Linked DNA regions of Stegostoma tigrinum. The protein of the gene in region 4 purifies or fractionates together with the protein of the main gene of each other region. This does not show direct contact. Links are inferred from orthologs where the notes say so. Each region holds a gene or a part of one and is shown on either strand. Other genes may lie near its edges.

Evidence for each region.
Region 1: the proteins of partitioning defective 3 homolog (region 4) and prkci purify together in Homo sapiens (affinity purification with western blotting; 5 studies listed by BioGRID and IntAct, with this or other methods). This does not show direct contact. The link is inferred for Stegostoma tigrinum from reciprocal best matches to the Homo sapiens genes PARD3 and PRKCI.
Region 2: the proteins of partitioning defective 3 homolog (region 4) and rassf8b purify together in Homo sapiens (affinity purification with mass spectrometry; 4 studies listed by BioGRID and IntAct, counting the BioPlex papers as one, with this or other methods). This does not show direct contact. The link is inferred for Stegostoma tigrinum from reciprocal best matches to the Homo sapiens genes PARD3 and RASSF8.
Region 3: the proteins of partitioning defective 3 homolog (region 4) and pard6b purify together in Homo sapiens (affinity purification with mass spectrometry; 5 studies listed by BioGRID and IntAct, counting the BioPlex papers as one, with this or other methods). This does not show direct contact. The link is inferred for Stegostoma tigrinum from reciprocal best matches to the Homo sapiens genes PARD3 and PARD6B.

Annotation. Positions count from the first base shown.
Region 1 is NC_081367.1:60,928,054-60,935,269, forward strand, and holds the start of prkci (protein kinase C iota type), read left to right. Parts: upstream 1-4,128; 5' UTR 4,129-4,202; coding exon 4,203-4,318; intron 4,319-7,216.
Region 2 is NC_081378.1:48,632,331-48,640,023, forward strand, and holds the start of rassf8b (ras association domain-containing protein 8b), read left to right. Parts: upstream 1-4,588; 5' UTR 4,589-4,781; intron 4,782-7,693.
Region 3 is NC_081372.1:40,635,098-40,642,780, reverse strand, and holds the start of pard6b (partitioning defective 6 homolog beta), read right to left. Parts: upstream 3,098-7,683; 5' UTR 2,911-3,097; coding exon 2,848-2,910; intron 1-2,847. UniProt on the Homo sapiens protein: Adapter protein involved in asymmetrical cell division and cell polarization processes. Probably involved in formation of epithelial tight junctions.
Region 4 is NC_081355.1:130,248,373-130,255,991, forward strand, and holds the start of partitioning defective 3 homolog, read right to left. Parts: upstream 3,080-7,619; 5' UTR 2,462-3,079; coding exon 2,342-2,461; intron 1-2,341. UniProt on the Homo sapiens protein: Adapter protein involved in asymmetrical cell division and cell polarization processes. Seems to play a central role in the formation of epithelial tight junctions. Targets the phosphatase PTEN to cell junctions.

The DNA.
Region 1 (7,216 bases), on a different chromosome or scaffold from region 4:
AGGATTTTGCATTTTGGAAGGATGAACAAGGCAAGGGAGTACACACTGAATAGCAGGACTCCAGGAAGTACAAAGAATCAGAGGGACCTTGGTGTGCAGGTCAATAGATCCTTGAAGGCACCAGGACAGCTAGTTAAGATGGTTAAGGAGGCATGTGGGATATTTGCCTCTGTTAACCAAGGCACTGAATACAAGAGCAAAGAAGTTATGATGGGGCTGCATATAACACTAGTTAGACCACAGCTGGATTATTGCATGCAGTTCTGCTCATCACAGTACAGAAGAATGTGATTATACTAGACTGGATGCAGAAGAGATTCAACAAGGATATTACCTGGGCTGGAATGACTCAGTTGTGGAAATAGACTAGAGACGCTGGAATTATTTTTCTTAGAGTAGCGAAGGCTGAGTGAGGAGTTCTGACTGAGATGTACAAAATTCTAAGGGCAAATACAGGGAGTATGAGGAGAAATATTTCCTGTTTATGGAGGGTTCAATAACCAGGAAGCACAGTTTTAATGTAAGGAACAGGAGGTTCAGAAGAAATCTGAGGAAGGTGTTTTTCTCCAGTGTTGCCTGTATTTGTAATTCATTGCCTCAAAGGGTATTAAAGGTCGGAACATTCAGGGAATTTAATAACTATTTCGATGGACACCAAATTGCCATAGCATACAAGGTTACAGGCTAACTGCTGCAAAACGGTACAAGTAGTTGGTTGATGACCAATCCAGACACACTCAGCCAAAGGGCCTCTTTCCACACTGTAAGAATTTTATGACAGGGCTAAGGGTTTGCTTTCTTTCAGAGGCTTGTGTGACTTTTGAATTTTCTCCCATAGGAGGCAGAGGAAGTGGAGAAATTGATTTTTTTTTAAGGCAGAGGTGGTTTGATTCTTGTTAGGCAAGGGAATCAAAGCTTGTTGGGTAGTTGGGAGTATGGAATTTGAAACATAAACAGATCAGGTTTGAACTTATTGAATGGAACAGCATTTGTGAGGTGGAATGGTCCACTTCTGCTCTTATTTCATACTTATCCTGTGTCCAAATTTGAAATAAAATCTCTTCATCCATGACTCTATAGAACATAGAACAGTACAGCACAGAACAGGCCCTTCAGCCCACGATGTTGTGCCGACCATTGATCCTCATGTATGCACCCTCAAATTTCTGTGACCATATGCATGTCCAGCAGTCTCTTAAATGTCCCCAATGACCTTGCTTCCACAACTGCTACTGGGAACGCATTCCATGCTCTTACAACTGTCTGTATAAAGAACCCGCCTCTGACATCCCCTCTACATTTTCCACAAACCAGCTTAAAACTATGACCCCTCGTGTTAGCCGTTTCTGCCCTGGGAAATAGTCTGGCTATCAACTCTGTCTATGCCTCTCATTATCTTGTATACCTCAATTAGGTCCCCTCTCCTCCTCCTTTTCTCCAATGAAAAAAGTTCGAGCTCAGTCAACCTCTCTTCATAAGATAAGCCTTCCAGTCAAGGCAGCATCCTGGTAAACCTCCTCTGAACCCTCTCCAAAGCATCCACATCTTTCCTATAATAGGGCGACCAGAACTGGACGCAGTATTCCAAGTGCAGTCTAACCAAAGTTTTATAGAGCTGCAACAAGATCTCACGACTCTTAAACTCAATCCCCCTGTTAATGCCTCTCCCCTCGTCGGCCTGTCAACGTACTGAGTTAGGAAACACTCCTGAACACACCTTACAAAAACAGCTCCATTCAAATCTTCTGCTGGAAGGAGGTTCCAATCAATATTAGGAAAGTTAAAGTCACCCATTACAACAACCCTATTACATCCACACTTTTCCAAAGTATGACTCTATGATCCTTGTTCTCAGAGACCTATATTGGTTCTGGGATCAGCAATGTCTCAGTTTTAAATTTTACTATTCATTCAGTTTCTTCCAAGATCTTGCCAATTTTTAAAAATATATATTCAGGGACGTGGGTAGGACTAGCCAGCTATTAGTTAGTGGGCATTTATTGTTCATCCTTAATTTCTCAGTAACATTTCAACCACATTGCTGCTGCTGGCCTGGAGTCACATGCAGGCCAGACCAGCAAAGGCAAGCGGGTTTCATTCCCTACAAAACATTAGTGAACCAGGTGGGGTTTTCCTGACAATCAGCCATAGTTTCATAGTCAAAATCAGACTCTTATTTCCAGATTATTATTGAATGCAAATTTCATGTTTGCCATGGTAGGATTCAAACCCAGGACGTGAGAACACTACCTGGGTCTCTGGATTAATAGGCGAGCACTAATACCACTCAACTATTACCTACCCCATAGTTCTATGGTCTATAACCTCTTTCAATCACATTACTGTCTGAGAACCCTACGCTTCTCCAATTCCAATCAATACAGTGTGGAACTAGAGGAACACAGCAGGTCAAGCAGCATCAGAGGAGCAGGAAAGTCGACTTTTTGGGTTTACATCCTCGTGGACCAGGCCTAATGAAGAGTGTAAACCCAAAACATCAACTTTCCTGCTCCTCGGATGCTGCCTGACATGCTGTGCTCTTCCAGCTCCACACTGTATTGACTCTGACTCTACCATCTGCAGTTCTTGCTACCTCCTAGTCGCTTCTCCACTTCTGACTGCTTTCTCATCTCCAGTTTTAATTGTTTCACCATTGGCAGTTGCACTTTTAGCTATCCTGTCTCTAAACTCTGGAGATCCCTCCCTACAGCACACTGCCTCTCTACCTCTTTTCAGATGTGTCTTAAAAGCTATCTCAATGAACAGTATAGTTCATTGTCAGTCCTTGTTTAATAACACATCTGTGGAGTGCCTTAGGATGTTTTAACTACTTTAAAGAGCTATATAAATACTAGTTGTTGTAACTTTTACTTTCCTGTTGATTATAAAACAAGATGAAACTGGAGGAGGAAAACAAGATTTGGGGAGATTTTGTTTCACGCTGTACACGATTAGAATTTCGAACTCACTGTCGGGGAGGATGATTGAAATAGAAACCCTTATGGGTTTAAAAAACTTTTTGGAGTACTTGAAGTGCTGTAATCTACAAGACTACAGCCTAAGAGCCGGAAAATTGGACTAGGCTGTATCGCTGGATCAGCTGCCATGACGCTGCCGTGAATTTACAAGTTTTAATTCGGCAAAGAGGCGTTGAAAAGAATACTGATGTTTAGGCAATCTGTAGGTCACCTTCTGGTAGGCGATACATAATTCGCCTTACTGAATGTAAAAACAAATAATGAGCGGAACACACCTACAATGAGTAATCGACACCTTTGTCTACACCAAACAGGTCTTTTTTTTCCTCTCTCAGTCCGACTAATACGTTTATTTCCGGCTTTGTTCGAATAAAGTTTCACTGTATTCGTTACTTTTGTTGTTGAACTTGATAGGAAAATCTAAAGAGGTAAAACATGAACAATTTAATAATAATAACTTGCATTTATAAAACATCTCTATGTCGCAAAAATGTCCTAAGAAGCCCCAAATCATGTCAAAGTGAATCTACATTTGAAAATAGAACTGACTTGTCGATATGCAGAAGGATATTTAGAAAGTAGGAACTGACTTCTGCAAACAAAAATTGATTAAAATACAAGTGGATGTGCCAACAAGTGAAAGTTTCGGTTCTACACCCTATCTCATAGAAACCTGACAAGGCAGGTGAATCACCAAATTCTAAGGGTCACCGGACCCGAAACGTTTCTCTTCACGGATGATGCCAGACCTACTAACCCTTTCCAGCAACTTCTGTTTTTGTTTCTGATTTACAGGATCCACAGTTGTTTCGGTTTTGAATAACCAAATCGCTCCAAATATATTGGACTACAAATCCCAGAGTTCCCCGTTACGGTTGCCCCTTACGACGGGGGCGGGTCCGGAGACCAATCCAAAGTGAAAATGCAGGGTAGATGATAAGGAAATCATACAACCTAAAATAATTAACACCGAAATGCAAAAATTTAGATGAAAATTGACAGAAATTTTATAACATTTATAATATTAATGCTGCCAAAGAGATGGTTGTGAAGAGCGCCTTGCGTATTGGGTCATGTAATCCTTTCGCCCCCGCCGACCTTTCCTGTATGGTGTGGCGGTCGGTGGTGCGCGCGCAGCGGGTGTCTGTTGGTTGGGCCGGACGAGCTCGAGCGAACGGCCGGTGGGGCGCGGGGAGGATTTGAGGTGAACGGCCGGACAGTCATATGAGAGCGGCTATTCTGCGGAGCTCCGACAGGGACATGCCCACAAGTAGGGACAGTATGATGTCCTACACAGCAGAGAATCACCACCAGGTCCGGATGAAAGCCTATTACAAAGGGTAAGGGCGAGAAACGCGGCCGGGCAGAGACCCCCCCCCCCCCACCCCCGCCCGCCAAACCTCGGGTAGGGATTTCTCCTCCTCCTCCCCTCGCGGACAGGAGACTTTGTCTTTTGGTTGGGTCGGGGTGTGGGAGAAAGAGGCTGTTGGTGGTGGAGAGTTGGGGTGTTGCCTGGGAGGTGAAGGGGATAGGATCTGAGAGTGGGAATAGCGTTTGGGATGCTGGTGCATAGGGCCAAGTAAGAGAGGGAGAAGCTGAGAATTTGGGTGGGAGGTGAAGGGGAGCTGGGAAGTTGTGGGTGGGCGAGGCGATCTGGCGCGTTGTTTGAGGGAAGGTGGATTGGGTAAATTTAGTGGGAAATTGAAAATGGGGGAATTGTAAGATTGAGGAGGGGAAGGGGAGCTATAGGATCCAGGAGGATGAAGGGTCCTTTTTTTTGTCAGGGGGAGAGTGGAATCTCTGAAACGTAGATGCAGGACTATGGCCAGTGGAGGGTAGAGGGATTATTGGAAGGAGAACCATTGTGGATCATAGTAAAGGGGCATAAAGATCCAAAAAGAGAAAGAAATCTGACTGTTTGAAAGTCTTCACATTCGCTCACCAACTTCTATTTGCCGAAAGTGCCATGCAAAGATGAAATGCCTTTTTTGGGCTAGTCGTTGTATATTACAGGAAATGTGGCAGCATTGTGGTTTAATCGAGTCATAGAGGTGTACAGCACAGAAACAGACCTTTCAATACAACTTGTGAATGTCGACCAGATATCCTAAATTAACTTAGTCCCATTTGCCAGCAGCACATATCCTTCAAAACCTTTCCTATTCATTAACCCAGCTAGGTACTTTTTAAGTGTTGTAATTGTACCAGCCTCCTCCACTAATTCTGGCAGCTCATTCCATACACACACTACCCGCTGTGTGAAAAAGTTGTCCCTTGGACCCTTTTTAAATCTTTTATCTCGCTCCTTAAACCTATGCAGCCTAGTTTTGGATTCCCCAGGCTAGGATAGAAGACCTTGACCATTTACCTTCACTATTTTATAAATCCCTAAGGTCACCCCTCAGACCTGACACTCCAGAGAGAATAGCCTGGCCTATTCAGCCTCTCCCTGTAGCTCAAGCTTTCCATCCCTGGCAACATCCTTATAAATCTCTCCTGAGCCCTTTCAAGTTTAATGACATCTTTTATATAACAGGGAGACCAGAATTGAATGTAGTATAACAAAAGCGAGTTAACCAATGTCCTGTACAGTCGCAACGTGACACCCCAACTCCTATACTCAATACACTGATTAATAAAGGCAAGTGTACCAAATGTCGCCTTCGCTATCCTATCTACCTGTGACTCCACCTCCAAGGAATAATGAATGTGTGCGCCAAGGTCTCTTTGTTGGGCATCACGTTCCAGGACTTTCCCATTAGGCGTATAATTCCTGTCCTAATTTGCCCTACTAAAATGTTACACCTCACATTTATCTAGATAAAACTCCATTTGCCACTCTTTGGCTCACTGGCCCATCTGATCAAGGTCCTGTTGTACTCTGAGGTAACCTTCAAGTGTTACCAACAAAATGAGATTTAATGAGTGTAGCTTTAAACTTATGCTGTAATTTTCAGTTGTTTATATAGCACCTCATGTCACGACATCTTGTGTTGCTGCAGAGGTGAGACTTAAAAGGAATTGAATACTGGGTCAAAGGAAGTGATATTCTGACTATAGAGTATCTTGTGATATTGTCCAGATTTTACTTACAGATGAATTGAAAGCTGCGTACTTTGTCAAGAATCAAAATCACATTAATTATAACTAGAGCTATTTTGGCATTGCCAAACATAGTTAGAAGTTTTTGATTCACAAATTTTAAAGTAACTGAATTGCATATATATGGTAAAGTGAACCAAAGTGCATTGATTTTAAGGGTGAGGGACAGGATGTTCAGAGGGTCTTTAAGGAGTACTTGTGTCACCCAGAGGGTTTGGGTGTTTTGAAATCAGTGCCTGAAAAGCTGGTAGAGGAAGGAATCATTACAATAATTAAGCATTATTTCAATGAACATTTGAAATAACACAATATACAAGCTTACAGGCCAAGTGTTGGGAAATGAGATTAGAGTTGATATCCATCCTGGTCATCAGGTAGCGATAGTGGGTCACAGGATGTTTCCCTGTGCCTCATACTCTGACTTGATGACTTCACACCATCGATGGAAAAAAAAAATCCATCTCTTCAAATGCTGACTTTGTTTCTTATGTCCCCTCAAACTTGGGTTTTGTCTACAGGCAGAATTTTCAGTTGTCTGAATACTGAAATACTGAGGGTAGTGCTGCAAAACAATTTGCGTGATAAATTAAGAGCATTGAAAAATCATTGCTCAGCATAAAAGTGATTTTTTTTGTGGTGAAGCACTTTTTACTGTTGTAGTGCAATACATACGTGAGCTGAAAACAGACAGCACACTATGTCCACAAATCAGTAGAGCCAGTGATATCCATCAAATATTCATCTACTTTGTATTTGTTCCAGGAGAAGTATCTGATAGGATGTTGAATGCTTTGTGCTAATTATTACAAAACATTAATAACAAGAAAGGAATTTGAATCTTCAGTCTTTGCTGACTTGCATGATCTATTCCGTTTGAGATTTGCTTGTTTTAAAGAGCTCCTGTATTAAAGAAGGGATCGTCAGTCAGAATTCTTGCTGGGTATTGCTGTTTAGTGATTACAAGTGTGCATATTGGATTTAGGTGAGGACAAGATCAGACTTGTGATGGTATGAAAGGCTGGCAGTTCTCTGCTTGCACATGACTGCTTTGTTGAATTACTAGAGTCTGACTGGAAAAATAAGTAAAAGTATGTTTTTGAAACTGGGTTGCAAATCTAATATTTCCTAAACCCAAG
Region 2 (7,693 bases), on a different chromosome or scaffold from region 4:
CACTTAGAATTAGCCCTGTCCTCCAGAATGAGTTGCATTGTTAAATCGAAGTCAGCACATTTACTGACAGCTTGTGATTTTGTAGGAATGGGCGCAGTGCCTGTTAAATATTTAGTTTTCATTATATCTAAAACGTCCTCTTAATCTTACATTGCATTTGTTTCATGTCTGTGATGCTGTTTAATATAAGAAATTACATATATATACTGAAATAAACCTTGCTTCTGTGAATGTGCTGACTGCTTGTCAGAAAATATCCATGGCTATGTTATTATGTTGGGTTCAGTGATTTCTATAAATCCATAAGCTTTCATTGTTGGCACTGTGAGACAAAGGAGCCTTGGGGTTGGCGATAGTGGATGAGAGAGTGCAAATATAGCAGTTATGTTATCAGACCGTAATTCACAGGGCTTTGGGCTCGGAAGTTTTGAGTAAATCTCAACACAGTATTGGAGGAATGCATTTTCAATCGAGTTATCTTTTCAGACTGGATTAAAAATCTTGCCACAATAATGGTGACCAAGAAACTATAGAACAATAGTACAGCATCCATCTCATTCACAGATTTCCTTTAGTGTAGGATAGAAATGTGATATCAAGAAGCATTCAAGAGCATATTGAATGATTATTCAGACAAAAATAATATGTAAGGGTATGGGGGGGGGTGGATTTAAAGCAGGAGATTAGGAGATTGGCATGAGGAAATGAAGCTGGTTTGAAGAGTTGATGCAAGCAGAATGGGCCAAATGGTGTCTGTCTGCATTGTAACACTTTTCAGTGACCCTTACCCAGTCTGGCCTGTACATAATTCCAGACCCATAATAATGTGGTTGGCTTTTAAACTGCCCTCCCCTTTAAAATAGCCTGGCAAGCCAAAGTTAGATTCATCATCATCTGACAATAAGGCGGTGAATGCTGGTCCCATCAGTGACATCTGTTTCCGTGAATGAGTTGGTGGGGGGGCATGGTGTGCTTGGACACACCATGCCCCCCCAGAGTCAGAGGGTGCAGTGAAGACCAAAGCTCCCAATTCGTAATTGTATTAACATACAGTAAAAAGTAAAATAAAGTTGCTGCGCTCCCAATGGGCCCTGGAGCTGCAGCTTCATTAGAAAGAGATTGTGGTGGTTTAACCTGAGAATCACCACTCCTCAGGAAAGGGGTGAGGTTGAGAAGGAAGGCCCTTCATGTTAAAGGTAAAGTCGCTATAGTCCCAGGGGGCGTTAGGGCTGCTGTCTCATTGGACATGGAGTGAGAGACAACTGGCAGTAAGTTTAACCTAAAGGCCACCTTAGGCTAAGGTTAACCTTAAGCTCAGCTGATGTGAACAAGATAGGATGCTCATTGCAAACTTTTTGATAACCTCAGCCTGAGCGGGAATTAGGCCCATGTTATTGGTGTTACTCTGCATTGCGAATCAGCTGTCCGACAACTGAGCTAAATAACCCTTTAACATCCATTGGATATGAGGACATCTTCTCTGATTGTAAACATTGTGAGGGCTCACAAAAGTTTAAAGACTGGTATAAGGATGGCGTGGCCTGGAAAGATGGATTACACTGGTCCTGCGAATCATCTGCAAATCCTTCCAATGCTCCATGTGTGTCTCCCGAGGAAGCGTGCGGAGAAGTGAATAAACACCAACCAAGGATGCAAAGAGTCGCAAATGTTTGGGACTGGTACAAGGAATAAGGTTAAAGGTCACGTGGTTTCTTTCATGTGATAGGTGCGCAAAAACAGAGACTGGTGGCTTTGATTACCCGTCCCATTGTTGCTGTGTTGTTGCTTGGACGGCGTTTATGTTCTGTGCTTCATTCCTTCCTGTGGGAGTATGGGAGTGATAGTTCATTAAGTAGTGAGCTGATTCCTGTTCGCTTTCACAATGGAGGGAGTTGAGTGAGTGAAAAGTTGTACCTTGCAGGGGTTTTCTTGCTGTTTCATAAGGTTGCCACTCACACATTACTGTACCACGGCTTGACAGAATCCCAGATTCCAGAGTGTATAAAAAACAGCTCATCTCCAGCTTTGTGCTGACATCTGTATGTGACCTTCCTGTAGCTGGTTCCCATCGTACAGATCTCCGCTCCGTGGTTTCTGTACCTCATAATCTAAATTATATCCAGTTACAACGTTCTAGGAAAAGCCTTTTAGTACTTTTCCATTGGCCTTGCTTTGTGAACGTTGAAACTCTGTTGTCTGCATCACCTTGCTTGTGTAAAGACTCTGGCAACCTCCTGGTCATGTGCTAGTTGTGTATTTGCACCTTGCCTGCTTATGGCCAGGGGAAGCCCAAGTACAAATTGATCATTATAGATCATTGTCTCAGAGATAATGGGAACTGCGGATGCTGGAGAATTCCAAGATAATAAAATGTGAGGCTGGATGAACACAGCAGGCCAAGCAGCATCTCAGGAGCACAAAAGCTGACGTTTCGGGCCTAGACCCTTCATCAGAGAGGGGGATGGGGAGAGGGTTCTGGAATAAATAGGGAGAGAGGGGGAGGCGGACCGAAGATGGAGAGTAAAGAAGATAGGTGGAGAGAGTGTAGGTGGGGAGGTAGGGAGGGGATAGGTCAGTCCAGGGAAGACGGACAGGTCAAGGAGGTGGGATGAGGTTAGTAGGTAGCTGGGGGTGCGGCTTGGGGTGGGAGGAAGGGATGGGTGAGAGGAAGAGCCGGTTAGGGAGGCAGAGACAGGTTGGACTGATTTTGGGATGCAGTGGGTGGGGGGGAAGAGCTGGGCTGGTTGTGTGGTGCAGTGGGGGGAGGGGACGAACTAGGCTGGTTTAGGGATGCAGTAGGGGAAGGGGAGATTTTGAAACTGGTGAAGTCCACATTGATACCATATGGCTGCAGGGTTCCCAGGCGGAATATGAGTTGCTGTTCCTGCAACCTTCAGGTGGCATCTTTGTGGCAGTGCAGGAGGCCCATGATGGACACGTCATCTAGAGAATGGGAGGGGGAGTGGAAATGGTTTGCAACTGGGAGGTGCAGTTGTTTGTTGCGAACTGAGCGGAGGTGTTCTGCAAAGCGGTCCCCAAGCCTCTGCTTGGTTTCCCCAATGTAGGACCGCTTTGCAGAACACCTCCGCTCAGTTCGCAACAAACAACTGCACCTCCCAGTTGCAAACCATTTCCACTCCCCCTCCCATTCTCTAGATGACATGTCCATCATGGGCCTCCTGCACTGCCACAAAGATGCCACCTGAAGGTTGCAGGAACAGCAACTCATATTCCGCCTGGGAACCCTGCAGCCATATGGTATCAATGTGGACTTCACCAGTTTCAAAATCTCCCCTTCCCCTACTGCATCCCTAAACCAGCCCAGTTCGTCCCCTCCCCCCACTGCACCACACAACCAGCCCAGCTCTTCCCCCCCACCCACTGCATCCCAAAATCAGTCCAACCTGTCTCTGCCTCCCTAACCGGCTCTTCCTCTCACCCATCCCTTCCTCCCACCCCAAGCCGCACCCCCAGCTACCTACTAACCTCATCCCACCTCCTTGACCTGTCCGTCTTCCCTGGACTGACCTATCCCCTCCCTACCTCCCCACCTATACTCTCTCCACCTATCTTCTTTACTCTCCATCTTCGGTCCGCCTCCCCCTCTCTCCCTATTTATTCCAGTTCCCTCTCCCCATCCCCCTCTCTGATGAAGGGTCTAGGCCCGAAACGTCAGCTTTTGTGCTCCTGAGATGCTGCTTGGCCTGCTGTGTTCATCCAGCCTCACATTTTATTATCATAGATCATTGTCTAACGGCTTTGTTTCTCAGAACGACAATTCAGCAATCCTTTGTTATTCTCCCATACATTACACTGCTGTTGGTTTGCAAATGCTATTTCCAGGCAATCAATGTGAGGGAAGAATTTGTGATTTACTGTTTGATGAACATGTCAATGGAAAAACTTGTTGGAATTGTGTCCAAAGATGCTTGGCAGAAATTTGAGCAAAAAAATGTTGTTTTGTATCCCAAGCTAACTCGAATGGTGTTTCCTCCCTTCCTTCTCTCTCTCCCCCGTGCCGCCCTCCCAACCACTTACGTCCTGCAGTGGCTTGTTTGTTTGTGTGCGTTCTCCTATATTCCTGACTGACTACCCCATTTGTACTCAGAGTAACAGATATGGCTAACAATTCAGCAGAGAGTGAGAGGGAGAGAAACTTCTCAATTTAAGAAATCCACATGCCAGACTTTGATTCCCAAGAACATCGCTGAACAAGTTGTCCCCCTGGGGTGTGGGGATGGTGGGGGAGGGAGTGCAGTTGTGACTTTGAAGCCATTCCTTTAGACTCCTGTCAATCAGCAGAGTCCAGGCATTTGAAGCTCAAGAAGCAAACTCTGACCCAGCTCCCACTACAACTAGACTCTGTAGACCTCTCACCGGTGTTTGACTGCAGAAGGGAGATGTAATTCAAAACCCATGATGACCGAAGAGGGTTAACAATGCATTATGTCGACATTTTACTGCTGTAATAGTACTCTGGCATTCTGCACAAACTTCAGGGAGGAAGTTAGTGCAACATGACACCAAAATACATACCACCGTAGCAACCCAGGCAGCAGAGAGAGCCAATATAAGGGCCATGTCAGTTTATTGTATAATGAATCGTGTCAGGACAGGACATGTTGAACACATTTGGAGAGGAGACAAACACAGAAAGACAAACTTTAACCTTCAGAGTGCAATTCATTTCAAAACAGTTTCCAGGATTTGCTGAAGGACTGCTGAAGATGAATGTTAACTCATGGCCTGCTGAGTGAAGTGGAGTCACTCTGAATCCACCGGTTAGTGCTGTGGGACAGATGGTGTGTGTGTGTGTGTGTGTGTGTGTGTGTGTGTGTGTGTGTGTGTGTGTGTGTGTGTGTATGTGTGTGTGTGTGTGTGTGTGTGTGTGTGTGTGTGTGTGTGTCATTCACTCCCAATTAGAGAAAATTTCCTTGTGGAGCCGGTGAGGGACATTAGAGAGCCAATGCTGTTTGTGTCAGTGTTTTGTGGACTGCAACATTCCCTTCTCCATGAGACACTTCCTGCCACCGTTTTGAGTCAGCACAGAGTTATTTTGTGGCAGGAATGGTTTCTCAACCAGAATTACCCAGAGCACTGAAGGCCGTTTGAATGGCCATGCTGAATAGATGTTTCCTTGGGAACTGAGGGCAAGCGAGTTCCTTTGAAATATAGGAGCAGGAGCTGGCCATTTGGCCCTTCAAGCCTGCTCTGTCATTCAATATGATCATAACTGGTCATCCCAGTCAGCCCCCTCTTCCCACTTTCTCCCTGTACGCTTTGATCTCTTTAGCCCTAAGAACTATATCTAACTCTTCTTGAAAACATTCAATGTTTTGGCCTCTGTCACCTTTTGTGAAAGAGAATTCCACAAGACTCTGGGTGAAGAAGTTTCTCCTCATCTCAATCCTAAACTGATTACCCTGTATTCTTAGACTGTGACTCCTGGTTCTGGTCTGCCCAGTCATTAGGAGCATCATTCCCAATTTACACTGTCTAGTCCTGTTAGAATATAATCCTGACTGATCCAGTCTCTCTTTATACTTCAGTCCTGCCAACCCAGGAATCAGTCTGGTAGACCTTTGCTGCACTCCTTCCATAGCCAGGACATCCTTCCTCAGATTAAGGAGACCAAAACTACACACAATACTCCAGCTGTGGTCTCACCAAGAACCTGTACAGTTGCAACAAGACTTCCCTGCTCCTGAGCTCGAATCCTCTCATTACAAAGGCTAACGTTCCATTGTCTTCCCCACTGCCTGCTGCACCTGTATGCATATTTTCAGTGACAAGTGTACTCTCTTTCCCAATTTATCACCATTCAGATAATAACCTACCTTTCTATTTTTGTTACTAAAGTAAAGTAACCTCACGTTTATCTACAGTATGCATCACCTGCCTTGCATTTTCCTGCTCGTCCAACCTTAGCCAAATAACACTGAAACTTGTCTGCATCCTGTCCCACCCAGCTTTGTGAGTGAGATGGTTGAGATTGAGAACTGTGACTGTCTCTATAGGCCAGAGTGTTGGTAACTAGAGGGCACAGGCTTAGGATAAATAGATAAAATTGACATAAGAAGCAGAGGGAAATTGAAAGTTTTTTTGTACATGGACATAGTTGTGGAAAGGAATGTACAGCTTCGAAAGGGCAGTGAAAGCAGATGCGGCCATTCAAAATGAAATTGATTCAGATTAAAAGAGGGAACGTTTTTGAGAGCTGAGGGGAAGGTGCAAGGCAATGGACTAATTGAATAGTTCCTTCAAAGAGTCAGCACAAGCACAGAACGCCTTTCGTTGAGGATGGAATTGAAATATTTCATATTGCTAACAGGAAGAAAGGGTCAAAGCTCAAAGTCTGGGCTGAATGGCCTCCTGTCCTCCAATAATTCCATAAATTGGGCTAGCAAGGAAATGCAGTTTCTGAATTTATCAATGTCCTTTCTTCCAATATCAGAGATGCTCTGTAATATCTTGTATGTCAGCTGTAGCTTGGGGGTACCACTCTTGTCTCATTTCAAAGACTGCGGGTCTGAACACAAAAATTTAGGCAGCTGCTTCAATGTAGTATGAACAAGAGTTCAACTGTTGAAGACGCTATTTCTCAGATGAGATGTAGGGGCAAGGCCCGGTCTGTCTCTTTCTTGAGCACATGTGAAAGACTCTGTGACACCACATTTAAAAATGGCAGGACAAAATGGCAAGCCCGCATATACAGCTATGTCCTAATAAGCTGTTTATTTAGTGATGGAAGGTTGAAAATTGGTCTGGTTGTTGTTAGAACTCACTGCCCTTCTTCAAATCAATGCAAAGGCTCTTTCACATCCCCTTAAAAATTGTAGTTGGGACAGCACGGTAGTTCAATGGTTAGTACTGCTGCCTCACAATGCCATGGACCTGGGCTCGATTCCACCCTCGGGTGACTGCCTGTGTGGAGATTGCACATTCTTCCCGAATCTGTGTGGTTTTCCTATGGGTGCTCCAGTTTCCTACCACAGTCCAAAGATTTGTAGGTTAGGTGGATTGGCCATGGGAAATGCATGTTTATAGGGTAGCATGGTGAGTCTAGTTGGGATGCTTTTCAAAGGTTTATTCTAAATTCAGGCTGAATGGCCTGCTTCCACGCTGTAGGGATTCAATGTACACTACAAGGCCAAGCCAGTGCCTGTGACAGAGCAGCACCCACTCAGCAGTATCCTTGAATGCCAGTCAATGGTGTGCTCTGGGACTTGATTTTGACTCAACTTTGCTGCTACTGAGACATGTTCTTAACATCATTGAGTTGTTGTTGAGATATGCTTGAGTCTACATTTGTAAATCCAATCTGCTTAGGGGAATAAAAAGTCTACAAAACAAACTTGTCATATTTGTCTAATGTCAATACTGGTTGCCATTCTAATCCATCGATGACTAAAGACTTGGGATATGTGTATCTTCAAGATGTGTTGTGCTTTGGAGATTTGTAAGACATTAGCACAGTATAAATTCACTCACCCACTCATCAAGTCAGATGTTAAAACCTAAACAAGTGAGGGATGGTTGAAAGTGCTCAATAAACATGTTTTGGGAATGGAGAGCGTTGGCTTTTGATGTAGGTGTAAGGGAAAGCCAGGAACAGCGTATGGTTTGTGGTGACAGGCAGCCCAATCCAGCTGTGAGCTTTCTCTGTAATTACCACTATTTGGGTTTTCCTTAA
Region 3 (7,683 bases), on a different chromosome or scaffold from region 4:
GGTGGGAGGGCTTTAAAATCTTAACCCATGTAATTTAACTCCACAGATCAATGCACGAAGCTCAATGATAATTATGCACTAACACAATCCAATCTGGAACTTAGAATGCAACTGTTACAGACCATAATTCTACAGTCTATCAAAATTAACATTTTATTTGTTTAGAGATAGTAGGAACTGTCGATGCTGGAGAATCTGAGATAACAAGCTGTAGAGCTGGATGAGCACACTAGGCCAGGCAGCATCAGAGGAGCAGAAAAGCTGACCTTTCAGGTCTGAACCCTTTTTCAGAAATGGGAGAGGAGAAGGCGCTCTGAAATAAATAGAGAGAGGGGAGTCAATGATAGAAGGTGGATAGAGGAGCAGATAGGTGAAGAGAAGATGGACAGGTCAAGGAGGCAGGAATGACGCCAGTAAGGGTGAGTGTAGGTAGGGAGTTGGGATGGGGGTTGGTCAGTGAGGGAGGGAGGAAGGGAGGGAGGGGCGAGTAGGTGGGAGAGAAAGCTGACAGGTCGAGGAGGCGGGGATGAACCAGGTCTTGGGATGAGGTCAGGGTTGGGGAGCTTTTGAAGCTTGTGAAGACCACATTGAGACCATTAGGCTGCAGAGTTCCCAAGCGGAATAGGAGGTGCTTTTTCTCCAGCCTTCGAGTGGCATCATGGAGGAGGCCCAGGATGGGCATGTCGTCCAAGGAGTGGGAGGGGAGCTGAAGTGGTTCGTGGCTGGGAGGTGTTGTTGTTTGTCACAAACTGAGCATAGGTGCTCCACAAAAGCAGTGTCCAAGCCTCTGCTTAGTTTCCCCAATGCAGAGGAGGCCACTTTGGGAACAACGGGTACAATATGCCACATTAGCAGATGTGCAAGTGAACATCTGTTTGATGTGGAAGATTTTCTTGGGGCCTGGGATGGAGGTGAGGGGGTAGGTGTAGGGATAGGTGTAGGGGCAGGTGTGGCAAGTCTTGCGGTTGCAGGGAAAAATGTTAGGGCTGGTGGGGCTAGTGGGGAGTGTGGAGCGGACAAGGGAGTCACACGGAGCAGTCCCTCCAGAAGGCAGATAAGGCTGGGGAGGGAAATATATCCTTGGCAGTGGGTCAGATTGTAGATGGTGGAACAGGCGGAGAATGATGCATTGAATCCAGAGGTTGATGAAGTGATCGTGGTTTGTTTCTACAAAGGTTTTAAAAGAGCAAATACTCCAGTTCACCTATAGACATGACAATATCCTAGATGTTTGAAGTCTGAAAAGGATATCATGTATTTTAAAACTAGGGGAGTTGGAAAAGGCAACGAATTCAATGCATCCAAAATATTATGAACAGAACAGAAGCCAATAAAATAAACTAAAAGTAACACCCTGAATCAGATCACTTAACTGAGAATATACAAGACGTTATCACTTTAATATTTTCTTTTTTTAAAAAAAATTCATTTTGGGATACGTATGTCACTGGGTAGGCTAGCATTTACTGCCCATCACTAATCATCCAGTTGGTAGTTAACCATCAACTATGTTGTTGAGGGTCTGGAGTCACATTTAGATCAAATCAGGGAAGGATGGCAATTTCTTTCCTTACAGGACATTAGCGAACCAGATTGGTTTCTCCAACAAATAACAGAAGCTCATGGTCATTATTACACCACTTCCTTTCTTCAACTAACTCTTGGACCAGCTATCTGACATTTAATCATTAAATTTTCTACATCAGACAATTTTACAATGCTAGAAATCTTCATTGTTCTTCAGAGATAGCAAGAACTGGTGGCTGAGGCAGATGCTGGAGGCAGAGTCAATATAGTCAGGACTGAAGAAGGATCCTAACCCTAAAACATTGATCACTTTTGTCAAGTTGCTTAATAAATTACCAATACATTCAATTTGAAGCAAATATAACATTAGTATATTTACTACCTTCCACTTCAACAGAAACATATGGATTTCTTACACATTCAAGTTGTTTTGTGATTGGGATAAATTGGGAGCCCATCCACTCTGGGCATCAGTAGATAAACATTTAAGTACATAGGAAACATGGTCTAATTAAGGAAGTTGTGATCAAGCCATTTATGCGATGAGAGAGTTTTGGATGTAGTTAAGTCTATTCAGACAGGCAATGATTGCTAATATTACAATAAAATAGCCAAATTGTTTGCACACAAAGTAGGTTTCTGTCAAAAAACCAGTCAAAAATTTTCATTCTGACAACTTAATACACTTAATTCTGTTTATTTTAAATACATTAATTCACATTGAAATAAAACACAAGTTAGTAAGATCTGACAAACAACAAGAAAATTTTTATAAGCCTGTGTGCATCTAGTGCAGATTGCTTTCTTTTTGGGCTGAAACCGATCAACTTACATAGGATCGTCAAATTCCCTTTCCATTTTAACCAGCTTCCAGACAAATCCTTATGGGAACACGAATTTTAGCTACATCGCTAATTGCTTTGTGTTGGCATTTACAAGCCTCTTTACTACGAAATTTCTTACAAAAGCAAGAAGCATTAAAATAACACGCAATGAACTGCACAAAAACTTGTTACCGCCGCCGGCTGTTCTCTGAAAGATCTCGACGCCTTTATTACTTCCTTGAACTGTACTGTCACCTGTTCCAACTCCCAATAAACAAACCGTAGAAAAGAACATAAAATATTGCTCTAAAATCTCCTTTTGGAACAGGCCTGTATCTGACCGTCAGATTGAACCTTGACCTCAGCAGCCTGCTGACAGATCCTATGCCAACATTAGCCGGGGCCGTGGTATTAATTTCCCTACAACTACTGACTGGCAAAGCACGAAGTTCCCTCCGCCTTTCCTCGGACATTGCGCCTCCTTATACACACACACCTTACTCTTCACCTCCACGGTCTCCAGGCTTCTGGACGCCGTCCGGTGATGAGTCTTGATCATTTTCGGAAGAACGTTTGTTGGCCGTTTTCGTGCCAACTGCTCGCCCGATCTTCCAAGGGCAGCAATTTGAATCGGCCCGAGTGCAATGAGGGAGATGGTGGGGGTAAAGTACGTAAAAGATCCGGGACTAATCTCAGACCCTCGCCAAACTCGTTCGAACACTGGTTCCGCCGCCTCCAGCCGGTTAGTAGCGGCTGCGCGTGCCCAGTTCCTCCTCCACCCACCCGCAGCTCAGCCTCGCGCCCCCTCCTAACGACCGGCAAACTCCGACTTCGTTACCAGATGACGTCACTCGCCCCGGAAACCCAGCCTCGGTTTCACCTGTGTGTGTACGCGCACTCAACCCGCTGCATTATTTCGAGCGGACACCCGTTCATTCTATTGTCTGAAGAAGGATCTGGGCCCGAAACATCAGCTTTCCTGCCCCTTTGATGTTGCTTGACTTGCTGTGTTCATCCAGCTCTTACACCTTGTTATCTCAGATTCTTCAGCAGCTGCAGCTCCTACTCTTTAGTTCCCTTGTCCGCCCGGCCTTCGTGCATTTTTAAAAGCGCGCGCCCCCGGCGGTGGTTGACACCATCGCGCGTCCAGGTGTCAGACATGCCTTGAGGAAGCAGGTATCAAGTAGGTGTCTGGGATGACATCCCAAGAGTAACAGCTGAAGCAAAAGTTTTTCAAAGTTCAGTGAACAAGTTTGAAACTTCTGCTATCTGTTCGGCATAATTATCCTAACTTTACTGATAAATGTAAGAAAGCCTAAAATGAAAGACTTAGTCCGCATCATCACCTTAGAAATGAATATTCTCTTTTCAGATGCTATTTAAAGGACCTTTAGTTAATGTTGTGGATTTTATGCTTTGTATTATTTGATTTTCATTCTTCGATCAAATGCTTGCGGCCGAAGCTAATTAAAATCAGTTTCACTAACGATTTTAAAGTTTTCAGAATTTTTCCCCCGTTTTGTTGGTCCTTTCCAGACCCTAGTCGTTCTCAACTGTTAAAACTCAATTTTCCTTCCCGAATGTTCTTCCCTACTCCGTCGCCATCGCACATTGACTTAAGCTCTTGGAGAGGGAAAAAAAATAGTGACTGTCGAGATATAAAAACAGCTAGAGTTCTACAACGGAAGAGTGTAATTAACGTTGATCCCATCAGAAATTGAGATTGGGAAAGTATAAATCCAAGCAAATAGAAGTAGGACCTTTAGAAAGCTATAGCACTATCGATCTGAGTGAGCATAATTTTATTATAGGGAAATGATTTTTGACATTTTATTTGATGATTTCAGAATGTGATAAACAGGATAAATAAAAGAGAACTAGCAGATGTAGTGATAATAAAATGTGAGGCTGGATGAACACAGCAGGCCAAGCAGCATCTCAGGAGCACAAAAGCTGACGTTTCGGGCCTAGACCCTTCATCAGAGCAGGCCAAGCAGCATCTCAGGAGCACAAAAGCTGACGTTTCGGGCCTAGACCCTTCATCAGAGGGTCCTCTGATGAAGGGTCTAGGCCCGAAACGTCAGCTTTTGTGCTCCTGAGATGCTGCTTGGCCTGCTGTGTTCATCCAGCCTTACATTTTATTATCTTGGAATTCTCCAGCATCTGCAGTTCCCATTATCTCTAGCAGATGTAGTGAACTTGAACCAAAAGGTGCTCAGAAAGGTGCCACCTAAAGATGTTATTGCACAAGATAACAGCTTGAGGTGTTGGGATAATATATTAACATGGATTGAGGATTGGTAATTCAACAGGAAATAGAGAGTTGGGATAACAGACCATTTTCTATATGAATCTGTAATTGATACAGTACCACAGGAATCAAACTATCACAAAAATGAGAGTTGGATCCCCAACCAATAATGAAAACGATGCTTTTATCTCCACTCTCTGCCTTCTATAAGTCAGCCAATTGTTTGTCTATGCCAGTACCTTGCCTCTGTCAGGACTCATTTAACAGCAACCTGTGCAGCACACTGTCATAGACCTCCTGGAAATCCAAATACATAATCTGCTGACTCTCCTTCGTCTAACTTGCTTGTTACTCCTCACAGAATTCTAACAGATTTGTCTGGCATGACCTGCCCTTGACAAAGCTGTCCTGACACAGCCCTATTCTACCATGCACTTTCATGTACTCTGCAAACTCATCCTTAATAATTGGACTTAACTAGCCTATGTTTTCTTGTCTTCTGTCTCCCTGCCTTCTTAAACAGAGGTATTACATTAGTCTTTTCCCAGTCCCGTGGGTGCTCCCTGACTCCACTGATGGCTGGAAGATCAGCACTAATGCCTCCACAATCTCCTCAGCTATCCTCTTCAGAACCCTGGGGTGTAGTCCATCTGGTCTGGATGATTTATCCACTTTCAGACCTTTTAGCTTCCCCAGCACCTTCTCTTTAATGATGCTTACCTCTGCCCCCTGATTCTCTTGAGTCCACTCTGAAATAACTACAGACAGGCAGATATCCCATCACAAAGTCACCCATTATTTACACATGGAAAGTCCTTGACGGTGGTACAGCCTCAAAAGAGTCAACTCCCAGAGTGTTGGGATATCTGACACTTCTGTTTTTACCTGTCAGCAAGGGATCCCTGCTTGAACCAGATTATCAGCCCCAATCAGGGAACTCATATTCTTTGAAGTCCACCTGGCTGACCTCATTGCAATCATTACACATTCGTGCCACTCTTTTACCTCTTACATATCTGAAAATACTTTTGTAGTCTTAATTTGTTACTAACTAGCTTGGCCTCATATTTCATCTTCTCCCCTCTTATTGTGCTTTTAGTTATTGCTGGTTTTAAAAGGTTTCCCAACCCTCTGGCTGCTCACTAATCTTCACCACATCATTTTGTTTTTGCTTTTATGCTGTCTGTGACATCCCTTGTCAGCCACAGTTGCCTTGTTTCTTCTTCCTTAGGATGAATTTCTGCTGTGACTCCCACATCACCCCTAAAAACTCCTGCTGTTGCTGCCCCACTGCCTGCTCTCCTGGGCTCCCCTTCCAACTAACTCTGGCCAGCTTCCGGAGCATGTCTTTGTTGTTATCTTTACTCGATTATAATACCATTACATCTGATTCCAGTTTCTCTCCCTCAAACTGCAGAGTGAATTCTATCGTATTACGATCACTGCCTCATGGGGTTTCTTCACCTTTAGCTGCCTAATCAAGTGTGCCTCATTATACATCACCAAATCTATAGTTGCCTGTTCCCTACTGGGGTCTGCTACAAGCTGCATCAAAGGACCATATTGTAGACATTCTACAAATTCCTTTCCTTGGGATCTGCTACCAACCTGCTTTTCCCAGTCTACGTGCATTTTGGAGTACCCATCATTTTTGTAAAAGTGCCTTTCCTAATGTGTCCTTTCTATCTGCTGATTTATTTTCTTCCCCAAATCCCGACTACTGCTGGAGTCATGTGATTTTCTCCTTTGCCATTCCTCAATACAGATTACATGTCTTGCTCTATATCACTTCTTGCTATTGATTTAATTTCATTTATTACTAACAAGACTGCTCAGCCCCCTGTGCCCATCTGCCTGTTCTTTCCATAGGACATGTATCTTTGAATATTTAGTTCCTAGCCCTGTTCCTCTTGCAGCCACATCTCTGTGATCCCCACAACATTGTACCTGTCAATTTCAAACTGTGCAAAAGCTTATTTACCTTGTTTCATATGCTGCATGCATTTTCGTACAACACCCTCAGTCCTGTGTTAATTCCACTCCATCGCTGCCACTTCTCATAGTTGTCCCCATATCTGCTATACCTGAAGTTGGATTCCTGACACTTTCCATCCTCTTTGTCTTATTATTTATTCTGGAAACTTTAATAACCTCTGCTGAGTCCTACCCTCAGCCTTAAACTTTTTCCATAATTTTCTACATAATTGCAATTGAACCCCTTCCCCCCCATTGCTATTTAGTTTAAAGTCATAGTTATGTGATTCACCAAGACTGTGCCCAGCATGATTCAGGTGGAGCCTGTCCCATCTGAACAGTTCCCTCATTGCCCAGGACTGGTGCCAATGTTCAATAAATTTGAACCCATTTCTCCGATACCAGTCTTTGAACCACACGTTTACCTCTTTAATCTTGTTGCACCTGTATCAGTTAGCCTGTGGCTCATGTAGTAATCTGGAGATTATCATCTTTTTGGTTCTGAGTTTTAATTTGTCCCCGAGCTGCTCTATGCCCTCTTTCTACCAATTAACATTGGTACCTATGTGGACCGTGCCAACTGGATCATTCCACTACCACTCCAAGCCTCTTTGCAGCTCAGCTGAGATATCCTGAACCTGGGAACCTGGCAGGCAACTCAACCTTCAGGTCCCTGGATCCTGGCCATAGAGAACAGTGTCTATTCTCCTAACTATACTATCCCTGATTACAATTACTTTTCTCTTTTTTTCTCTCCTCTTGAATGTCTCTCTGTTCAATGGTACTATGGTCAGTTTGTTCATCCTCCCTTTCTCATCCATACAGGAAGTAAAAATGTCAAACATGTCAGACAAGGTCTCGGTTAAATCCCCTTCAGCACTACCCTCTGCACATTCCTCTACTTGCCTCACTCATAGTCACACCCTCTTGTCCTTGACCACTGACCAAATTTGAGGGGTGTGACTGCTCCTGAAACAGAGCATCCAGGCAACTTTTCACCCTCCCTGATGTGATGCAGTCTTCAAACCTCAGACTCCAGCTCATCAGATCTGCACTGGAGTTCCTGAAGCAATCAACACTTGCTACGCATGTGGTCACTACGAACCA
Region 4 (7,619 bases):
CAGCATTGTCAGAGGTGCTTATCTTCACGTGGCACAAAAAACCAAGTATTAAGACTGTGTATTCAAACAAGAACAGCAAGGTTTCCTCAACTGTTCAACAGCTTTTCTTCAGTAAAGATCATTCAAAACAAAACAACTGAACATTCATCTCATTACTGTTCGAGATTGTGCTGTCTGCAAAGAAACTGTCACTCCCCTCTGCAAATTAAGAATGACTGCAGTTGAGAAGTAATTCAACATGCATCAAGTGTTTTGTGACATCCTCAATGACCTGTTCAAGTGCTGTCTGCATATAAATATGAGATCCATTATTCCGCTCAATTCATGAATACCTTGTTTTCATTCTTAATGCATTTACAGATCAAATCCTGCATTCCCACCTGTATCAGTATTAAAACTTTTTCTTTAACCTAAATAGCAACCAACAATTTTTCCGGTGATGAATGACTTGCTTTAGATGAGAATTTTTTTTTCCCCCACAGGAATTTGTTAAGGCTTTATCCAGTGCAAGGTCAATTGAAAACTAGACATTAAACATGCAACCAAGGTGAATGAATAACATTTAAAATTAAGTTTATGGGAAGTCATCAAAAATTGTCCACTCATTACAAAACTTACTGCTTGGGTGGCAAGGATTATAACACAAAGGATATGTCATCACATTTTTTCAAAAATCAATCCAAAAATATACCTCAAGCAAACTATTTAGCCAATTATTCGAATATTTCTTGCACAGTAAATACACATTTGCAAATTCTAACTACACAGGAACATACAGAAAATCACAATAATTATAATCAAGGAACATTAAATATTTAAGATAACAAAGTGTGGAGCTGGATGAACACAGCAGGCCAAGCAGCATCTCCTGAGATGCTGCTTGGCCTGCTGTGTTCATCCAGCTCCACATTTTGTTATCTTGAATTCTCCAGCATCTGCAGTTCCCATTATCTCTGATACAACGTTAAATATTTAGCCAGTAGTTTTGTGGCACTGTGAAGTAATACATTTACAGCAGGCTACCACTAATACCTAACCTTACATTTCCGGTACATCTCAACTATTGATTAAAAAGTTAGTCCATGCACAAAGTAGGCAATACAGTTTGTGCGACCAATTATCCGATTCAACACAAACCTCCACTTTCAGTTTAACTAGAGTTGGAATACAATTCAACTCAACCAAATAGATTTATATGTATATGCTTTTGGTCAAGAGTTAAAAGATGCACGTGGCAGGAATTTCAAGGTCACAACTGTTCACAGCTCTTCAAAATAATTGACAGGTTTGTGAAAATTACACTTTCATTTGCTTGTGCTAACTATGCAAAGAATAAAAAAAAACGCACTTTTTAATCATAGTTCACACTAACAGTACATTAACTTCAACAATTGATCAGTATTAAAGGTCCATGTAGTTTAGTTATATTTTCCATTTACCTACTTTGGCTAATTGGCCAAACTTTCCAACTCTTATTTTTAACACTTTTCTGAGAAAGTAAACCCTGTTTTAATTACCCAACAGACTAGTCTGAAAACGTTTAGAGTTAATTTTAAAGTTACGAATCTAATTTACTACAATGAGATGACTTTAAATTAGACACCAGTTAGAGGGGAGCAATGTGTCCATCTCAAGCAGAAATTCGTTTCTTTTGTTGCTTGATGCGAAAACAGCGTTATTAGCCAATGAATTCCGATCCTACTCATGCAATCATCTCACTGACAAGACTGACTGGAAATGAGAGAGGGGGAAATAACGCTTCTGTTCCTATTCGTATTTCGGTATCATCAGTAATCAGCGACTCGTCTACGGAATTTAATCGATCGTTCGAAAACATGAAACCCAAATTCTTGTCAAATACTTCCCAGGAAAGGAGTCCGAGGCCTCCGTGTTTGGGAAAGCCTCGAGCTGGAGTTGAGTCACCTTCTTCTCACAGTCCGAGGCCGCTCCATTTCACCTCACACCAGTTTGTATTTTTCTCCCCCGCCGAGGGAGGGGAAAGAAAATAAATTTACAGACAGGAGAAAAATACACCCAAATCTGCCGGGGGATAAAGTTACGAAAAACTTTTTTAATAATAAGAAAAAAAAGATTTCAAAACTTGTGGAGAAAAGGGAGGGGAGGAGGCCGTGCGAAAAGCTTTAACTTTATGGTCGCGGCTTTTGTATTTTGTTTTCGTTTCCTCTCCTCTTTCTGCACTCACCCTCCCTTCGTTAAGCACAGAGGGAGGTGAAAGCTTGTATCCAATGTGAATATCAGGAAGCGCCATGTTGCTCCTGGCTGGTCTCTGGATACATTGTGTCCGCCGCCACTCCGCTCCCCTTATTTTGCCCTCACTCACCTTGGCGATGGCACGGCGGTACCTGGTCACCGCCTGCTGGATCAGGCTGTGCACCGTGATGGCCCCATTTCCACAAGGAACAACCACCCTGGTCCTCGCGAAGCAGACGGTCACTTTCATCACTCGTCTCGGTAACAACAGCGCGCAGCTTCTGTTGCACAAGGGTCTCGTCGGCTCAACCCAAAATAAAGAAAGGGTTGGCGGTTAATCTGTTTCCTTTCCTCTCTCACCGCTGCCGGCTGCAAGGTTGTATCTTTCCTTTATTCCGCCCCGTGCGATGAAATGCTCTGTTTCATGGTGGTGCGAGCGGCCCCGCTCGGGTTGTACACGGCGCCTCTTCCTGCCGCCACCTGTTCCTGTTTGTGGGAGTGGAGCCGAGCACAGCCTTGCCGGAGGAACAGCCCAAAATCAGGGAAGCAAAACCTGGAGCACCCAGTGTCTCCCCGCCCTGGCCGCTCACGGCACCGCAACGTTGCAAATCCAGCGTTCAGCTTCAACCACAGACGTGCAAAGCGCGTTCCTAGCCGCACAGACTGAGGTGAAGATAAATCATTACGGTGTTGCGCTGAGGGCCAAACTTCATCACTAAATACTGCATATATTCACTACCACGCTCCCAATGTCTTCCTTCCCTTGGAGATAGCAAGAACTGCACACATGATCTGATGAAGGATCCCTGAAACTGCTTGACCTGCTGAGTGCCTCCAGCTCCACACTGTATCGACTGGTCCTCTCTCCCTTGCCGTCTGTTCCGTGAATTCGAGAGCTGGCACTGAGAGTGTGCAGGCAGAGCTGGATTGGGTGACCGGAAGACAATCAGCTATTGAGTGCATAGAAGACAATTCGCTCTTTCATGGAAGAGAGATGGTTCCTTGGCATGACAAGTGCAGTAGTGACGGAATATACATGAAAGGAAATAGCTGTTTCTGCAGTTATGAATCCAGAAAGGTGTGTTGTCTCCCCAATGCCAGAGGCCGTGATATATTGTGTGGCTACAGGGCACTTGGAAGGGGAAAAGTGAACAAGCAGAGGTCATGATCCAAATTAGTGGGCACAGGTAGAAAGAGGGGTGAGGTCTTATAGGAAGACCTTTGTGGGCTGGCATGGAGACTATCATTCAGGACCTCAAAGAATTAGTCTCCAGACTACCTCCAATGCCAAGAATTAGATGGTACAGAAGCAAAAGCACAGAAAAATGTGTGGTTGGAGAGATGGTGCAGAAATGAGGGATTCCTACATCTCTGGGGATCGTTCATGGGAAGATGGGACCTGTACAGGCTGACAGGTTGCACCATAACAAAGCTAGGACCAATGTCCTCATGGGATGCTTAGCTGATTGGCAAAGGTTGGGAAATAGCATGTAACATTAGAAAGAAGAAACAAGGTCTGCAAAAGATTCAGAGAGATAGCATTGAACTAAGCAAAAACCAAATGAACTGCAGATGCGGTAAATTAGAAACAAAAACAGAAATTGATAGAAAAGCTCTGCAGGTTTGGCAACATCTGCGGACAGTCATAGAGAGAAATCAGAGTTTAATATTTCAGATTGAGTGAACCTTCCTCAGAACTTCTGAATCTACTCAGAGCAAAGAAACAATAAAGGTGTAATACTGGGTGTTTTCTAGAGTTCAGAAGTTACAGAGGAATAAATTTGCAGCTAAATTACACACAGAGATACAAACAAACTGAAGAATATTGAGAATAGGGGCTTTAATAATCCAGCTACATTTTGAGGTATACTAACAGTATAAAGAGCAGAGATGGAGAAGCATTTTGGAAATGCATTAATGGAAATTTCCTTGATTTGTATGTTCCTGGTCCAATGAGCTCAGAGGGCATTGTGGAACCTCGATTAAGGGAATGAGTTGGATCAAGTGTCAGTCAGGGAATGTGTAGGAAACAGTGATCATTGTATCATAAGATTAAATTGGCAACTGAAAGAAACAATATGTCATTTAGAGTCTAAATGCTTAATTGGAATAGAGCCAAATTCTGTATGGTGAGAACGGATCTGCCCCAGGTAAATTGGCATTAAACAGTAGCAGACAAAACAATGGTCTTATTTTTAAAGAAGAGCTGGAACAGTTGCAATCAAGGTACATTGTTAGGAGAGACATGGGTGGGGTAAGCAAAGACAAAAAACACAGAGAGTAAGATGCCGTCAGGTTGAGAAGTCCAGAGGGGGATGAAGACAAAACTGACAAATGAACATTTTAAAAATCCAAAAATCTTTAGAATATAAATAGGAAAGTGTCGTCTGTCTAAGTTTTTACAATCTTTGATCTGTGCATCCTTGCTTACGATGATCAGCCTGTATGACTCGTAAACAAAGCTTTTCACTGTACTCAGGTACACATGATAAATCAATCAATCAATCAAATATCCCATTCTCAATTATTGAAGAACCCAACACATTAGTACAAAACATACAGCTGAAGACAGAGGCATACAGGTTACCTCGCACAGGTTGTACACTAAGTGAGATCAGTGTTAGCAAGATCAGCATTATTTGAGCCTAAGGCATCTATTCATCAGTCTAATAATGGTGCATGTGTTCAAGCTTCTGTATCTTCTGCCTGACGGAAGAGGTTGTAAGAGGTCATTACCGGGGTGCAATGGGTCTTTGATGTTGACAGCCTTTCCACGGCAATGAGTCATGTAAATAGAGTCCATGGATGGAAGGTTGGCTTCTATGATGGTCTGCGCAATTTTAACTATCTTCAGCCAGAAGTGTTGTGTGGATGATTCATCATGGCCTTCTCCTATGATTCCAGCATCTCAGATACCATTCTTCAGCCAATTTGATTCACTCCACATAATATCTAGAAATGGTTGGAGGCTCTGGGTACTGCAAAGCCTATGGGCCCTGACAACTCTCAAGCAATAATACTGAAGACAAGTACTCCAGAAAATGCCACTCCTCTGGCCAAGCTCTTCCAGTACAGTTCTAACACTGGCTTCTACTCAAATTTGGAAAATTGCAAAGGTGTGTCCTCTGCACAACAAGCTGGCCAAATCCAACCCAACCAAATACTATTCAGTCTATTCTCAATCATCAGTAAAGTGATGGAAGGTGTCATCAACAGTGCTATCGTCAAGCAGCACCTGCTCAGCAATAACCTGCTCAGTGATGTCCAGTTTGGGTTCTGCCAGGGCCACTCAGCCACTGACCTCATTACAACCTTAGTTCAAACATGGGCAAAAGAGATGAATTCCAGTGGTGAGGTGGGAGTGAGAGCCCTTGACATCGAGACTGCATTCAACCAAGTGTGCCATCAAGGAGTCTTAGAAAAACTGGAATCAATGGGTATCGGGGAGTGTGAGGCCATGCAAAGGCTCTGCTGGTTGGAATCATACCTGGCAGATGATGTTGTAGGAGGTCAGTCATTTCCACTCCAGCACATCTCTTTAGGAGTTCCTCAGGGTAGTGCCCTAGGCCCAATCATCTTCAGCTGCTTCATCAATGACTGTCCCTCCAATATAAGGTCAGATGTAGGGATTGCACAATGTTCAGCATCATTCACGACTCCTCAGATGCTGAAGCAGTCCATAATGAAATGCAGCAAGATCTGGAAAATATCCAGGTTTGGGGTGACAAGTGGCAATTAACACTAATGCCACACAGATGCCAGGCAATGACCAAATAAGAGACAATCTAACCATCACCACTTAACATTCAATGGTGTTACCATAATTGAATCCGCCACTTTCAACATCCTGGGGATTATCATTGACCAGAAACTTAACTGGACTAATTGCACAAACACAGTGGCTAGGAGAGCAGGTCAAAGGCTAGGAATACTGCAGTGAGTAAGAAGGCATTTGGTATACTATTGGGTAGTGCATTGAGTACCGGAGTTAGGAGATCATGTACAGGACATTGGTTAGGCTAGTTTTGGAATACCGAGTGCGATTCTGGTCTCCCTGCTTTAGGAAAGATGGTGTGAAACCTGAAAGGGTTCAGGAAAGATTTACAAAGATATTGCCAGGGTCGGAGGTTTGAGCTAAAGGGAGAGGCTAAATAGGCTGGAGGTATTTTCACTGGAGCATCAGAGGCTGAGGTTTATAAAACCATGATGGACTGGATAGAGTGAATAGACAAAGTCTTTTCTCTGGGGTTGGGCAGTCCAGGACTATAGGGCATAGGTTTAAGGTCAAAGGGGAAGGGCCTATGGGGCAACGTTTTCAAACAGAGGGTGGCATGTGTATGGAAGGAGCTGCCAGAGGAAGTGGTGGAGGCTGGTACAATTACAACATTTAAAAGGCATATGGATGGGCATAAGAATGGGAAGGGTTTAGAGGGATAGGGGCCAAATGTTGCCAAATGGGACTAGATTTGTTTAGAATAACTGGTTGGCATGGACAAGTCGGACCAAAGGATCTGTTTCCATGCTGTACATCCCTATGACTCTATGACTCTAAGTCAGATGTGTGATGGAATACTCTCCACTTGCCTGCTGCAACAACAGTGTAGAAGCTTGGCACCAACCAGGACAAAGCAGCCCACTTGATTGGCACCAAATGCACAAACATTCACACCCTCCACCACTGACACTCAGTAGCAGCAGTATGTACTAGCTACAAGATGCACTGCCGAAATTCACCAAAGATCCTCAGAAGCATCTTACAGACCCACACCCATTTCCATCTAGAAGGACAAGGGCAATACATACATGGGAGCAACACCAGTTGCAAGTTCCTCTCCAAACCACTCATCATCCTGACTTGGTAATATATCACCATTCCTGCACTGTTGTTGGGTCAAAATCCTGGAATTCCCTTTTGAAGAGCATTGTGGGTTAACCCACAGCAGGTAGACTGCTGCAGTTCAAGAAGGCAGCTCACCATCTTCTGAGGGCAACTGGGGACTGACGATAAAATACTGCCCTGCCAGCAAAGCCCGTGTTCCAGGAATAAAAATTTACACATGGAAGCAGACAGCGTGGTTGATGCACTTGTTCCAGAGAAGGGGTAAGTCAAACCCGTCTAATAGGATAAAACCAAAATACTAGTCGTACTAGAGGGTTCCCTTCTGAAACACCCAGAGAAGCTCGCCTCGCCTTTATAATTTGTTAAAAGTGTGGTTAAAAATGAAAGAAAATCCCTGATATCCACTTTATAAGTAAGACATAACAATTTATTTATTTTTCTTAATTAATTTTAAAGGCCGTCTTACTTTGTGTCTGAATGTCAACTCAAATGGAGTAAACTAAGGTGATTTATTTGGGCCATCTCTAATGCCAAACATTATAAATGGGTCCGTTTATTGCAATAATTT